Danio rerio: one gene and its partners. Each later gene encodes a partner of the first gene's protein in a complex. Links are inferred from orthologs where the notes say so. Each region holds a gene or a part of one and is shown in the gene's direction. Other genes may lie near its edges. The genes, in order: tbc1d23, fam91a1 and stx16.

The links.
Region 2: the proteins of tbc1d23 (region 1) and fam91a1 are in contact, whole or in part, in a crystal structure (PDB 8JJ9), measured with the Homo sapiens proteins. The link is inferred for Danio rerio from reciprocal best matches to the Homo sapiens genes TBC1D23 and FAM91A1. Residues at the interface, in NP_001186127.1 of Homo sapiens: Arg533, His534, Val535, Ser536, Ser537, Asp539, Val541, Gly542, Lys543, Pro544, Tyr545, Arg546, Val548, Pro550, Val551, Phe552; in NP_659400.3 of Homo sapiens: Arg49, Glu60, Arg61, Tyr64, Asp84, Ile85, Lys88, Gly89, Leu90, Arg91, Ile92, Thr93, Phe95, Ser96, Ile159, Pro161, Tyr176, Ile177, Thr178, Glu179, Asp181, Ile182, Lys190, Asp194, Ile197, Asp198, Tyr216, Asn217, Lys218, Gly219.
Region 3: the proteins of tbc1d23 (region 1) and stx16 are in contact, whole or in part, in a crystal structure (PDB 8QQF), measured with the Homo sapiens proteins. The link is inferred for Danio rerio from reciprocal best matches to the Homo sapiens genes TBC1D23 and STX16. Residues at the interface, in NP_001186127.1 of Homo sapiens: Leu638, Asn639, Ser640, Val641, Val642, Lys643, Ile644, Thr645, Ser646, Lys647, Lys648, Ser661, Ser662, Ala663, Ile666, Thr683, Lys687, Ile690, Met691; in NP_001001433.1 of Homo sapiens: Asp209, Asp210, Asn211, Thr212, Leu213, Tyr214, His215, Arg216, Phe218, Thr219, Glu220.

The regions. Positions count from the first base shown.
Region 1 is NC_133181.1:31,423,100-31,426,757, reverse strand, and holds part of tbc1d23 (TBC1 domain family member 23), read left to right. Parts: intron 1-65; coding exon 66-172; intron 173-791; coding exon 792-928; intron 929-1,159; coding exon 1,160-1,204; intron 1,205-3,190; coding exon 3,191-3,279; intron 3,280-3,658. UniProt on the Homo sapiens protein: Putative Rab GTPase-activating protein which plays a role in vesicular trafficking. Involved in endosome-to-Golgi trafficking.
Region 2 is NC_133194.1:35,574,977-35,578,634, forward strand, and holds part of fam91a1 (protein FAM91A1), read left to right. Parts: intron 1-14; exon of another isoform or gene 15-38; coding exon 39-145; intron 146-252; coding exon 253-291; intron 292-3,658. UniProt on the Homo sapiens protein: As component of the WDR11 complex acts together with TBC1D23 to facilitate the golgin-mediated capture of vesicles generated using AP-1.
Region 3 is NC_133181.1:52,364,057-52,367,714, forward strand, and holds part of stx16 (syntaxin-16), read left to right. Parts: intron 1-240; coding exon 241-348; intron 349-896; coding exon 897-1,037; intron 1,038-2,497; coding exon 2,498-2,660; intron 2,661-2,809; coding exon 2,810-2,898; intron 2,899-3,658. UniProt on the Homo sapiens protein: SNARE involved in vesicular transport from the late endosomes to the trans-Golgi network.

The DNA.
Region 1 (3,658 bases):
TAGAGATCATCAGTTTTGCATTGTGGACAGGAGTTTGATTCTGACTTTTTGTCTTTAATACTCAGCATTGCAGCAGCACCTGGCAGATATTAATGTTGAAGGGCCAGATAACGTTTATGTTCACTGGATTGTGAGTACCTCAGGATCCCACAGCAGCCTCAGCTCAGCAGATGTGAGTTTAGCTTGTGTGTAACGCACTATACATCAAGAGTTTTTGCATTAAATCAGTGTACTCAATACTTGGGTTGTCATGATTGCCATGATTCCAATCATGGTTTTTGGTTTATTTTAGGGATACTTATCTGAAGTTATGTCCATCTTGTTTTTGATCTTACATTTTGAATGTGGAAGCCTTCAAGCATTTCAGTTATTTTAACTGTTAAAGTCATGATGTTGGAAACAAAAAATCTCATTTGACAATTTATCATATTTTGTTGTATTTTTTCCCCCCGTTATATAAATAAACCTATGAATTCATATTTAAACTGAAAGATTCTGAAATCTCATACATGTACAGGATATAACTTGCTTATGTTTTGAACATATCTATATATATATATATATATATATATATATATATATATATATATATATATATATATATATATATATATATATATATATATATATAGCTTGATACATATGTCTTCATTTTCGTTGTGGTATTTTGTGCCACCTTTTGAATCTTATGTAAATCAAATCAGAAAAATTTGCAAACTTTTTGTGATAACCGCCAAATACCTTTTTATTCTTTAATTATTTATCTTCCTTAATTCATCCATATTTTACAGGGAGAACTGAACAGCACAGATGGCAAAGGAGTTAAATCACTTGTCAACAAAATGACATTTGCACTCAAGTCAAAGTCAGTCAATGTGAAAGAGAAGGTGATCAGCTTCATTGAAAACACTTCCACACCAGTAGAAAGGTGAGGAAATGCAGTGTTCTTTGCACCCAGACACTACCAAAATTCCTTAATTAAGTTGAATTTTTTTTAAATTCAGGGTGTTAACTGATCAGCTGTCTCTCTCTCTCACTTTCTTTCTCTAACCATGAAGGTTAAATGCTGTTGGATAAAAATGTATTTAAAGTGATTGATCTTTTGAAGCCTTCCTGTTTTAATCATCTTCACAACCTATGCCCTGTTATTTCACACTAGAATGTCTTTCAATCTACCATGGCCAGACAAGGGAATTCTGGAGCGGTAAGACTTCGTTAATGTTTGTCTGTGCCCCACCAGCGCGCATCAAGTTTCTGCAACATGCTCTTTCAAGGTGGCACTTAAAGCTTTAGCTCATTGTAGGGGTTTTAAAACCCAGAGTAAATGACACACTCTAACACCATATGCATCTGCATCACCTGCATTTCTGGATGTCTGTTTGACCTTTTGAATTTGCTGTTTTCTGCTAAAAATTTGAGACTATCATCAGAGTTGAGTAACATTCTAGAATTTGTGGCTGTCATTCACTACCAAACATTCACACGCATGTGTAGTAGAACCACTCGGATTGGTGGAAGCTGTGAATCACCAAAGCCTTCTCATTCCCAAATTTTCACCTTTTTAATTTTGAACCTGTCACAGGACCCATTTGGTGTCGTTATTCATTGTGCAAGGTAGAGTGGCATATGTTGAAAAAAAAAGTACATTGCAATAGTTAACAGATAAAATGAACGGCTCTATTTGGATAAGTTTAGATTGACTTGCATGATTTCTGTATAAAATATAATAAACCACAAGCATCAATTAATACAGTTGTGCAAAGGTACTAATATATAGCAGCATTTATTTAAACAAATTGAATCATCAAATGGTAAATACACTGTATAGTCTTCATTACTAATATGATCATTTCTTGTGCCTAAATACTTTAATCTGTCTTGAAATGCTCACACAGTCACAGACCTTAAAACACATGCAATTGATAAACATTTTGGTTACTTTATGGTTAAACTTTGCTATGAAAAGAAATTGCATATCCTGTGATTTGACAGTTGTGGATGTGCACATTGCGGTATCGATGCAGAGTAAACAGATTTGCTTAAAATATTGCAACGCAAACAATGTTATGGGTGATTTATCAGAGTTCAAAAGAGGACAAATTGTTTGTGTGCATCTCGCTGACACATCTGTGACCAAGACAGCAAGTCTTCGTGATGTATCTAGTGTAATGTCAGCATACCACCAAGAAAGAAGCACTACATCATATTGGTTAAACTTTGCAATTGAAAATACATTGCAGATCCAGTGATGTGACTATTGTGGATGTGCGCATTGTGAAATCAATGCTGAACTGATATGTTGTACAGCCCTAGTGCATTGTGTTCCATTTTTTTCTGTGTAGACGTATTAGGATAGTCTCTAATTCAGTGTAGTTTGATGAGGAACATGAATTATTTTGATATCATGCGCACCCCTAATTCCACCATACAATGGTTGGGGAAACACTACATAAAGCACAGTTTATTTCATTTGTATTTTCTGTTGTATCATATTATTATAATTATTATATATTTATCTGTCTTTGTTACTTATATTTTATCTAGATTCACTCCCTTAAAAATGAAACCTGGTCAACCTAAAATGATGAATTGTCCAAATAGAGCTATTCAAGTCATCTAGAGAAACCATTTTGATATTACAATATATATTGCAGGAAAACAAAATATTGTAATATTAGAAAAAAATGACATTATGCAGCCCTACCAATGGGGTCTTGATCTTGAGAGTGAGAATGGGTTTTGAACCACAGGTCTTTTTGTCCGTGACAATGTTGGCTGCTTTCTTACACTGCATCTGTCACTATGTACCTTTCCTAGTTTTACGCCAGAAGTTTCTGTCTCGCAGGCTGAAGTCTGGTTGAAGTCTGCTGTCTGAGTCCTCTTTGATTCCCTTAGGGAGACTGCAGTCCTGTCTTTGTTGTACTGTTTTGAGCACAGCTGTAGAAGGCTGGGGCAATTGTGACTTAAACCGTTTGCAGTAAAATCGACTGCAAAGTACCTGGTCTTCCACATGTTGCTTCTCATTTCAGTTAAAATGCAAACATCCTAACCTCCCTTTCTTTCAACTAACAGTACTCGCCGTTCTAATCCTAGAGGACTCGTCATCTCATTGCCATGCTCCTTCAATTGCCTATATCATGAAAAACAAGACAATTCTGGTTGGAAATCTTATTTATTTATTTTTATTCAGGCATGTAAGTAGCAGTGATCGAGTGGGGAAACCATACAGGGGTGTCAAGCCTGTCTTCAGCATTGGAGATGAGGAAGAGTATGATACAGGTAGATACCATGTCCTTCATCAGGGGTGCTCAAACTGCAGAGCTGCTATTAACCAGAGATAAGCTGGTTTTTGATTTAGTGTTTGAAAGGGGCATGGGTTGCTATAAGATTCTAACGGGACGATAACCTGTGATAAAAATACCACAGCTTCATGGTTTTGTGATTACTGCTCCAAAATATATTCTTTTTCAATGTCTGGGTAAAAAACAAAAACAAGAACTTTTTCTTTTCGCTTTGAACACAATGGCTGCATCCGAAATTGCATACTTAAATACTTTATAGTACAATAAAATCAGTATGTGAGCTGAATAGCAAGTCCGAATTCATAGAATTGGAAAAACAGTGTGTGATAAGTACCCAAATGACTACTAGATTCTGA
Region 2 (3,658 bases), on another chromosome or scaffold:
ACACTTTACACAAGCTCTTCTTGGGTGTGATTTTTCAGTGCCGCCGCTTGAGGGGTTTGTCATGAACCGAGTCCAGGGTGATTATTTCGAAACGCTGCTCTACAAAATCTTCGTTTCCATTGATGAGCAGACTAATGTGTCAGAGGTACATATTACATTTTCCCTTTGAAGTGCACTTGCAGTCTCTTTTCTTTTTCAAGGATTCTGCTTGTCTCGAAGCCTCTCATAGCACTTTTGTATTTGTCATTTCAGCTGGCTAATGTACTGGAGATTGACTTGGGCCTGGTGAAGGTACGTGTCGTGCAGAGATGAAAATGGAGGGCCATTTACATGGAATGTTTGATATGAAATGATGCCTTTATAGCTGGCTAGGAGGGCGGTGAATCCCAGGATGCATCGGTGCTGGTATTACCGTCGCTGCAAAGACAATTTTCCAAATCCGTTGGCCTTTTGATGGCTTGTGAAATGAGTCCTTTTTTGAATGTACGATGCAGACTGCGGAGAACCATTGTGTTCATACGTTCCCTTTGTAGCTGTTTAGCCCCATTTCAGTATCTGGCAGAGTAGAAAACAAGCTTATTCATGAGATCCGTCAAGAAAACCCATAACTCTTTATTAGAAGAGCCAACACTGAAGGGACTCAAAGGACACAATCTTTACCAATTAATTTATTTTTACTGGGGAAAGGCAGTATTCGTTTTCATTATCTCTCTGACATTTTGCTAAGACAAATAGGACGAAACGTTTACTGCAATCATCCTATTAGCGAAAACCAATTTATTTAGTAAATGATGATAACGGAGTACATTTGAATTGATCCATTGCAGCCAATGTCTATATGTGGTGGACAATTTGATAAAGACATTGTAGAAGCTTGAATATTGGATTGGAATTGAAGCTTCTTCTTTTTGATGGATAACTTGTTCAGAAATTCAGTGGGAATAAGTATGTAAGAATGGGGTTTTATGAATATAATACATGATTGTAGTACGGGTGATGCTGGGCCTTAAACCAAGTTTGTGTATGATATTTACAGTCACTGGCCACTTTATTAGGTACACCTGTCCAATTGTTCGTTAACGCAAATTTCTAATCAGTCAATCACATGGGAGCAACTCAATGCATTTAGGCATGTAGACATGGTCAAGACGATCTTCTGCAGTTCAAACTGAGCATCAGAATTGGAAAGAAAGGTGATTTAAGTGATTTTGAACATGGCATGGTTGTTGGTGCCAGACGAGCTGGTCGGAGTATTTCAGAAAATGCTGATCTACTGGGATTTAGTGTACAGTACAGTACAGTCATGCTCAACCATCTGTAGGGTTTACAGAGAATAGTCTGTAAAAGAAAAAAAATATCCAGTGAGCGCCAGTTCTGCAGGTGCAAATACCTTGTTGGTGTTAGAGGTCAGAGGAAAATGTCCAGACTGGTTTGAGCTGATGGAAAGGCAACAGTAACTCAAATAACCCCTTGTTACAACTATGGTATGCAGAAAAGCATCCCTGAACACACAATATGTCGAACCTTCAGTTGGATGAGCCACAACAGCAGCAGAAGACTGGAACTGGAAACTGAGGCTACAAATCGCACAGGCTCACCCAAATTGGACAATAGAAGACTGGAAAAAACGTTGCCTGGTCTTATGAGTCAATTTCTACATGAGTCAACAACATGAAAGCATGGATCCATACTGCCTTGTATCAAATCAGCCTGGTGATGGTAATGTAATAGTGCGAGAGATATTTTCTTAACAAACTTTGGGCCTGTTAGTAATAATTGAGGATTGTGTCAATGCCACAGCCTACCCGAGTATTGTTGCTGACCATGTCCATCCCTTCATAACCACAGTGTACCCATCTTCTAGTCTACTTCCAGCAGTATAACATGCCATAATGCCATAAAGCATGAATCATCTCAGACTGGTTTCTTGAACATGACAATGAGTTCACTGTACTCAAATGGCCTCCGCAGTCACCAGATCACAATCTAATAGAGCACCTTTGTGATGTGGTGGAACAGGAGATTGGCATCATGGATGTGCAGCCGACAAATCTGCAGCAACTGCATGATGGTATCATGTCAATATGGACCAAAATCTTGAATTAATATTTCCTGTTGCTTGTTGAATCTTTGCCAAGAAGGATTAAGGCAGTTCTGAAGGCAATAGGGCTTCCAACCCGGTACTAGTAAGGTGTACCTAATAAAGTGGCCTGTGAGTGTATATATCAATATACTGCAGATAGCTTTTTATTCATTATCTTAAGGACATTTTTAGCAAAGTGACACCGATAAATCTATTAGTGCTAAAAGTCTTATTTAATTTATGTATTCTTTGGTTTGTTGTTTTTTAATAGTGTGCTTATTGATAAAATGTTCTTGCCAGGAAAATAGCCTTTGTTGCTGACACGGCATTAAAATAAAAATTCATCATCATTATAATATATCATTAATATTTATATTATTCCTCACATGGTTATATAATTTGATTCTGCTCATTCTACACAATGAAAACTTGCACATAACATAAACAAAAAATGTCAATGTTTTTTCTTTGCTTTGTCTGTTTTGTAGGTTTATTAAATCTATACAATTATAACAAGGAAAAAATGCAGTCAAGTATAACGAAAAAAGTAGTCTATTTAGTTTAAAACAGTTTGAAAAAGTATGAACAGACAGACAGACAGACAGACAGACAGACAGACAGACAGACAGACAGACAGACAGACAGATAGATAGATAGACAGATAGACAGATAGACAGATAGATAGATAGATAGATAGATAGATAGATAGATAGATAGATAGATAAAATGGTGTTCTATATCTTATCCTTAATGTTTAGTTAGCATTTCTAGTATGTTAAAGCATTGTTAATCATTATTAGCATGACATGCAAGAATTACGGTGTGCTAGCATGAGTCAAACGAGCCAATTCCCACTTCTCTACGATGTTCTGATGCTAAGATATAGCTGCTGTTATGTGGTTGTTAGGTTAGTCTGTTTTGTTGCTATGGAGTTGATTGACAGCTTAAACTGATAATATATATCCCCCCATGTCTCTATAACACTGCAGCACGAAGATATCAATCTGGGCCTTTATAATGACAGTCTATGGGGCAGTTGCTAGGGTGTGGCTAAAAAGTTAAAAGGCCATCAGTGATTGGCTGCTGGCTAGACTGAGTTCCTTGGAGGAGATACAGACAGAATTTTTTTCTCAGAAGAATAATAATAAGTTTAAATAGGATTTCAATAGGTTGGCTATCACAAGCCAGCCTAAATAGGGTGTGAATAATGCATTATTAAGTGTTAAGCTGTGATTAATAAATGCTGTTTAAATGGTGTTCATAATTAGTCAATGTTAGTAAATACGTTAACTAATGAAACCTTATTGTAAAGTGTGACCGTTCATTGTTTATTTTAGTAATTAAATTAACCATTCTTTTTAAGCTTTACCAAAAAACATAACATATAGATATTCTTATTCTCATCATAATTTCAATCACACTGAGGGAATGCAGTGCGAGCCGAAATCCTGACCTACTTTCTCCAGTACCATTCAATCTTCCTCAAGAGCCGACAGAGTTTTATCTTTATATGTGACAGTACGGCAATTTTCTTTTCTGTTCCACTTCGCCTAGACCCACATGGAGAATAACCTC
Region 3 (3,658 bases), about 21 Mb from region 1:
TATTTTCACAATTTATGAAGGCATACTGTCAAAATGGGACAAATGAGCTTGTATAGCAGCCAAGTTCTAAACTTTGTCAGTAGGGGGGTGGGTCTTTCGAATCACCCGAACCCCTCCTGGCTACAAGCCAGTTTAATATTGACTTTTTCATGAGAATATTTACATATTATTAGCATAATCTGCAAGTTTCAGTACCCATTGCATAATCTGCTGTTGCTTGTCCCTCTGTCTGTCTTTTAGTTGGCAGATGACCGTATGGCCCTGGTGTCGGGTATTAGTTTGGATCCAGAGGCTGCTATCGGTGTCACAAAGAGACTCCCGCCTAAATGGGTGGAGGGAGTGGATGAGGTAAATTAATAAAGGTTTTAAGAATTCTGTAAACCCTGTCAATCCATGTTTGCATTCTGTAAACCCTTTACTTGTTTCAAACCTTTATAAGTTTCTTTCTTCTATTGAACAAAGGGAGATATTTTGAAGAATGTTGGAAACCTGTATTCACTGACTTCCATAATATTTGTTTTTCCTACTATGGAAATCAATGGTTACAGGTTTTCAGCTTTCTTCAAAATATCTTCTTTTGTGTTTAACAAGAAAGAAAGGTTTGAAACCACTTGAGGGAGAGTAAATAATGAGTACATTTTCCTTTTTGGGTGAACTCTCTTTAAGCTCTGCCGACAGCGTCTGTGGCATGCTATAAAAGATAACAAACGTAATGCATCTGAACTGACCACTTGTGATGTGATTAATGAAAAATGCATTTTGAAACCAGATGCAAACCTCCACATTCTGTCACTAATATTCATATCCATTAACATTCATGTATTAGTTCAACTGGAGTGTTCCTGTTACCTTAGTTTTTCTGTAGAGAGTGAACAGTGAATTCCTTGTTCCCTCAGATTCAGTATGAAATCACACGTATTCGTCAAAAGATGAAGGAGCTGGCCAGTCTGCACGATAAACACATGAACCGGCCCACGCTGGATGACAGCAGTGAAGAGGAGCATGCCATCGAGATCACTACACAGGAAATCACACAGGTATTATAGACCATTTCGATCTGGTCATGTCATTGGCTCATGAATATTTCCTGCTTGTTATCAGACTATATCATAACTGTAACAAGAAGCAATTCAATCATAACTTAATGAACTCAAAACAGCCATTTTAACATTATTTATTATTGTTTATTTATCAATTTTTGGATTCTCTAAAGCTATAGGAATTAAAAATGTAAAACAGGTAATACAGTGGGACCATTGTTTTTGTTTACATCCCTCATAATAGTATGTCACATAAATACACACAGGTTTGTATTTGTCAATTGTGGGAACATTTCATAGGTTTCCATTGTTTTTATGTGCAAACTGTGTTTTCTATTGCTCTAACCCCACCATACCTCTAAACCCAACTCTTATGCTGCGTTCACACCAGACGCGGCAAGCGCGTCAAGCGTGAGTGATTTACATGTTAATTTAATGCAAACGCGCGAATAGACATCCTGCGGCGTGATACGCGCGAATGGTGCGGCGCGAATCACGCAAATTGCGCGAATGACGCAGGGCGAATTGAGCATTTTGCGCGTTTGATGCACTTAACGAGCGTTTCGCGTGAATCTCTCGATTTCGAAAATCTTAACTCCAGCGTACATTCGCGCCGTGTTAACCAATCAGAAGCTTGCTCTTGTAGGGGCGTGATTGTGACGTAGAACCTGTTGTCGTGGTTCCTTGGGAAATCCTTCAGCCTTCACCGACAACAGTTCATCAAACTCGGCTTGGCTCAGTCAGAAACACCGCTGAAAGCCTTCGTCATCCAGATTAAGTTTCTGGAGGAGTTTATGAGCTCACAGAGCTGGATGCACCTCTGAAAGAATGTAGTGGACTCAGACACGACCCTAAACGTATCGACGCTGTTTTTCAGTCTTCATAAAGCGCATAAACACTGTTATTTTCTTCATAAAATCTATGTTAGCCATTTAGCTATGAAGCTAGAGTCTTCGGGCAGACAGAAGCCCTGCCCATCACGCGAATCCGCGTCTGTTCTGATCTGAATTTGACAGGCGAATGAATCGTGGTTTGACGCGCGTATGAAGCGAGTAAACTCAAATGATCATGCGGCTATTTATGTGCGAATAGCGCGATTTATCCGCGCGTTTTGCGTCTGGTGTGAACACAGCATCACAGGAAAATTGTGTACACTTTTACTTTCTAAAAAAACTCATTCTATGTGATTTATAAGATTTTTGAGAAATGAGGACATTAGCAAAGTCCTCATAATGCACCACCTTCTTGTAATACCTGTCATTATACAGATTTGTTTCCTGATATGTCATAAACACGTATATACAGACACGCACACACATTAATAATAGTACAGCGGCATCTGTTATAACCAAAGAGGTTAAAGGGGACATGAAGGAAAAATTGCTGCAGTTAATCATTGCACACATTAAACTAAAGCATTTTCAGCATTTGTAGATTGTGTGTGTGTGTGTGTATAGATGTTTCACAGGTGCCAGCGGGCCGTGACGGGACTGCAGACTCAGAGTTATCACTGTACAGAGCAAGAGAACAGGCTGTTGACTAATGTGGTCTCCTCATTGGCTCAGAGCCTTCAAGAGCTGTCGCTCAACTTCAGACACACCCAGTCCGGATACCTGAAGCGTAGGTCTAATGCACACAAACACAACATAATTCGATATCTAAATAAATACACAGCATTATTTATGCGGTTTTGGTTTTATTTAGACTTTAGTTTGGCATTATACTATTAATTCATGACAAATCATTGACGTGTTTGCCTCCGTTTACAGGTATGAAGAACCGTGAAGAAAGATCCAAGCACTTTTTTGACTCCGGTCCACTTGTGGAGGAGGATGAAGATATCGCACTATATGACAGAGTAAGGTTGATTTACACAATTCATTTGCATTTTAATCCAGAAGTGTGTTTTCGCTTCCTCCTCAAAGGATATTTGAGGTATTTCATATGGACGCAATGTTTATAATAATTATTTATTATTTTATTAAATAATATGAAGTAATTTTGCAAGACTCTTTAAATTTAACTCATATTTATACAGATTAAAAGAGACAGAGACAATAAACAACCACATTTTATTGACTGTAAAAGTAAATGAGTCCAGAGGCGTCAGGCGTCAGTTTACCAGTGTTGCAGCACAGTATAAATAAGTATACTACATAAAAATGTCCTGAAAATGCCTTTCAGCCGATAATTTTGCCGGGTAAGGGGGAATAAAGACCTTAATTACATTTTAATACTCCGGTTTCCCCCCAGCCCAAATACATACGCTGTATTTGAATTGGGTAAGCTAAATTGTCCATAGTGAATAAGAATGAATGGGTGTTTCCCAGTGATTGGTTGCAGCTGGAAGGGCATCAGCTGTGTAAAACATATGCTGGATAAAGTTGCCGTCACACCAGAGTTTGAGCAATTCTGTTGTACGGCGCTGCGAAAAGGGGCGGGATTAAACAAGATGATTAGACTTTTAAAAAGCGAGCGATTTCGCAGGTCAGAGTTCACCAAGCTTGAACTTTGCACCACAGCAACCTGCAAAACTTGACGCATGACCCCGTGTTTCCGGTCTGACGCATTCGCTTGCTTTGAATGGAAGTCTATGGGAGGAAAAGCCCAGTGTGACC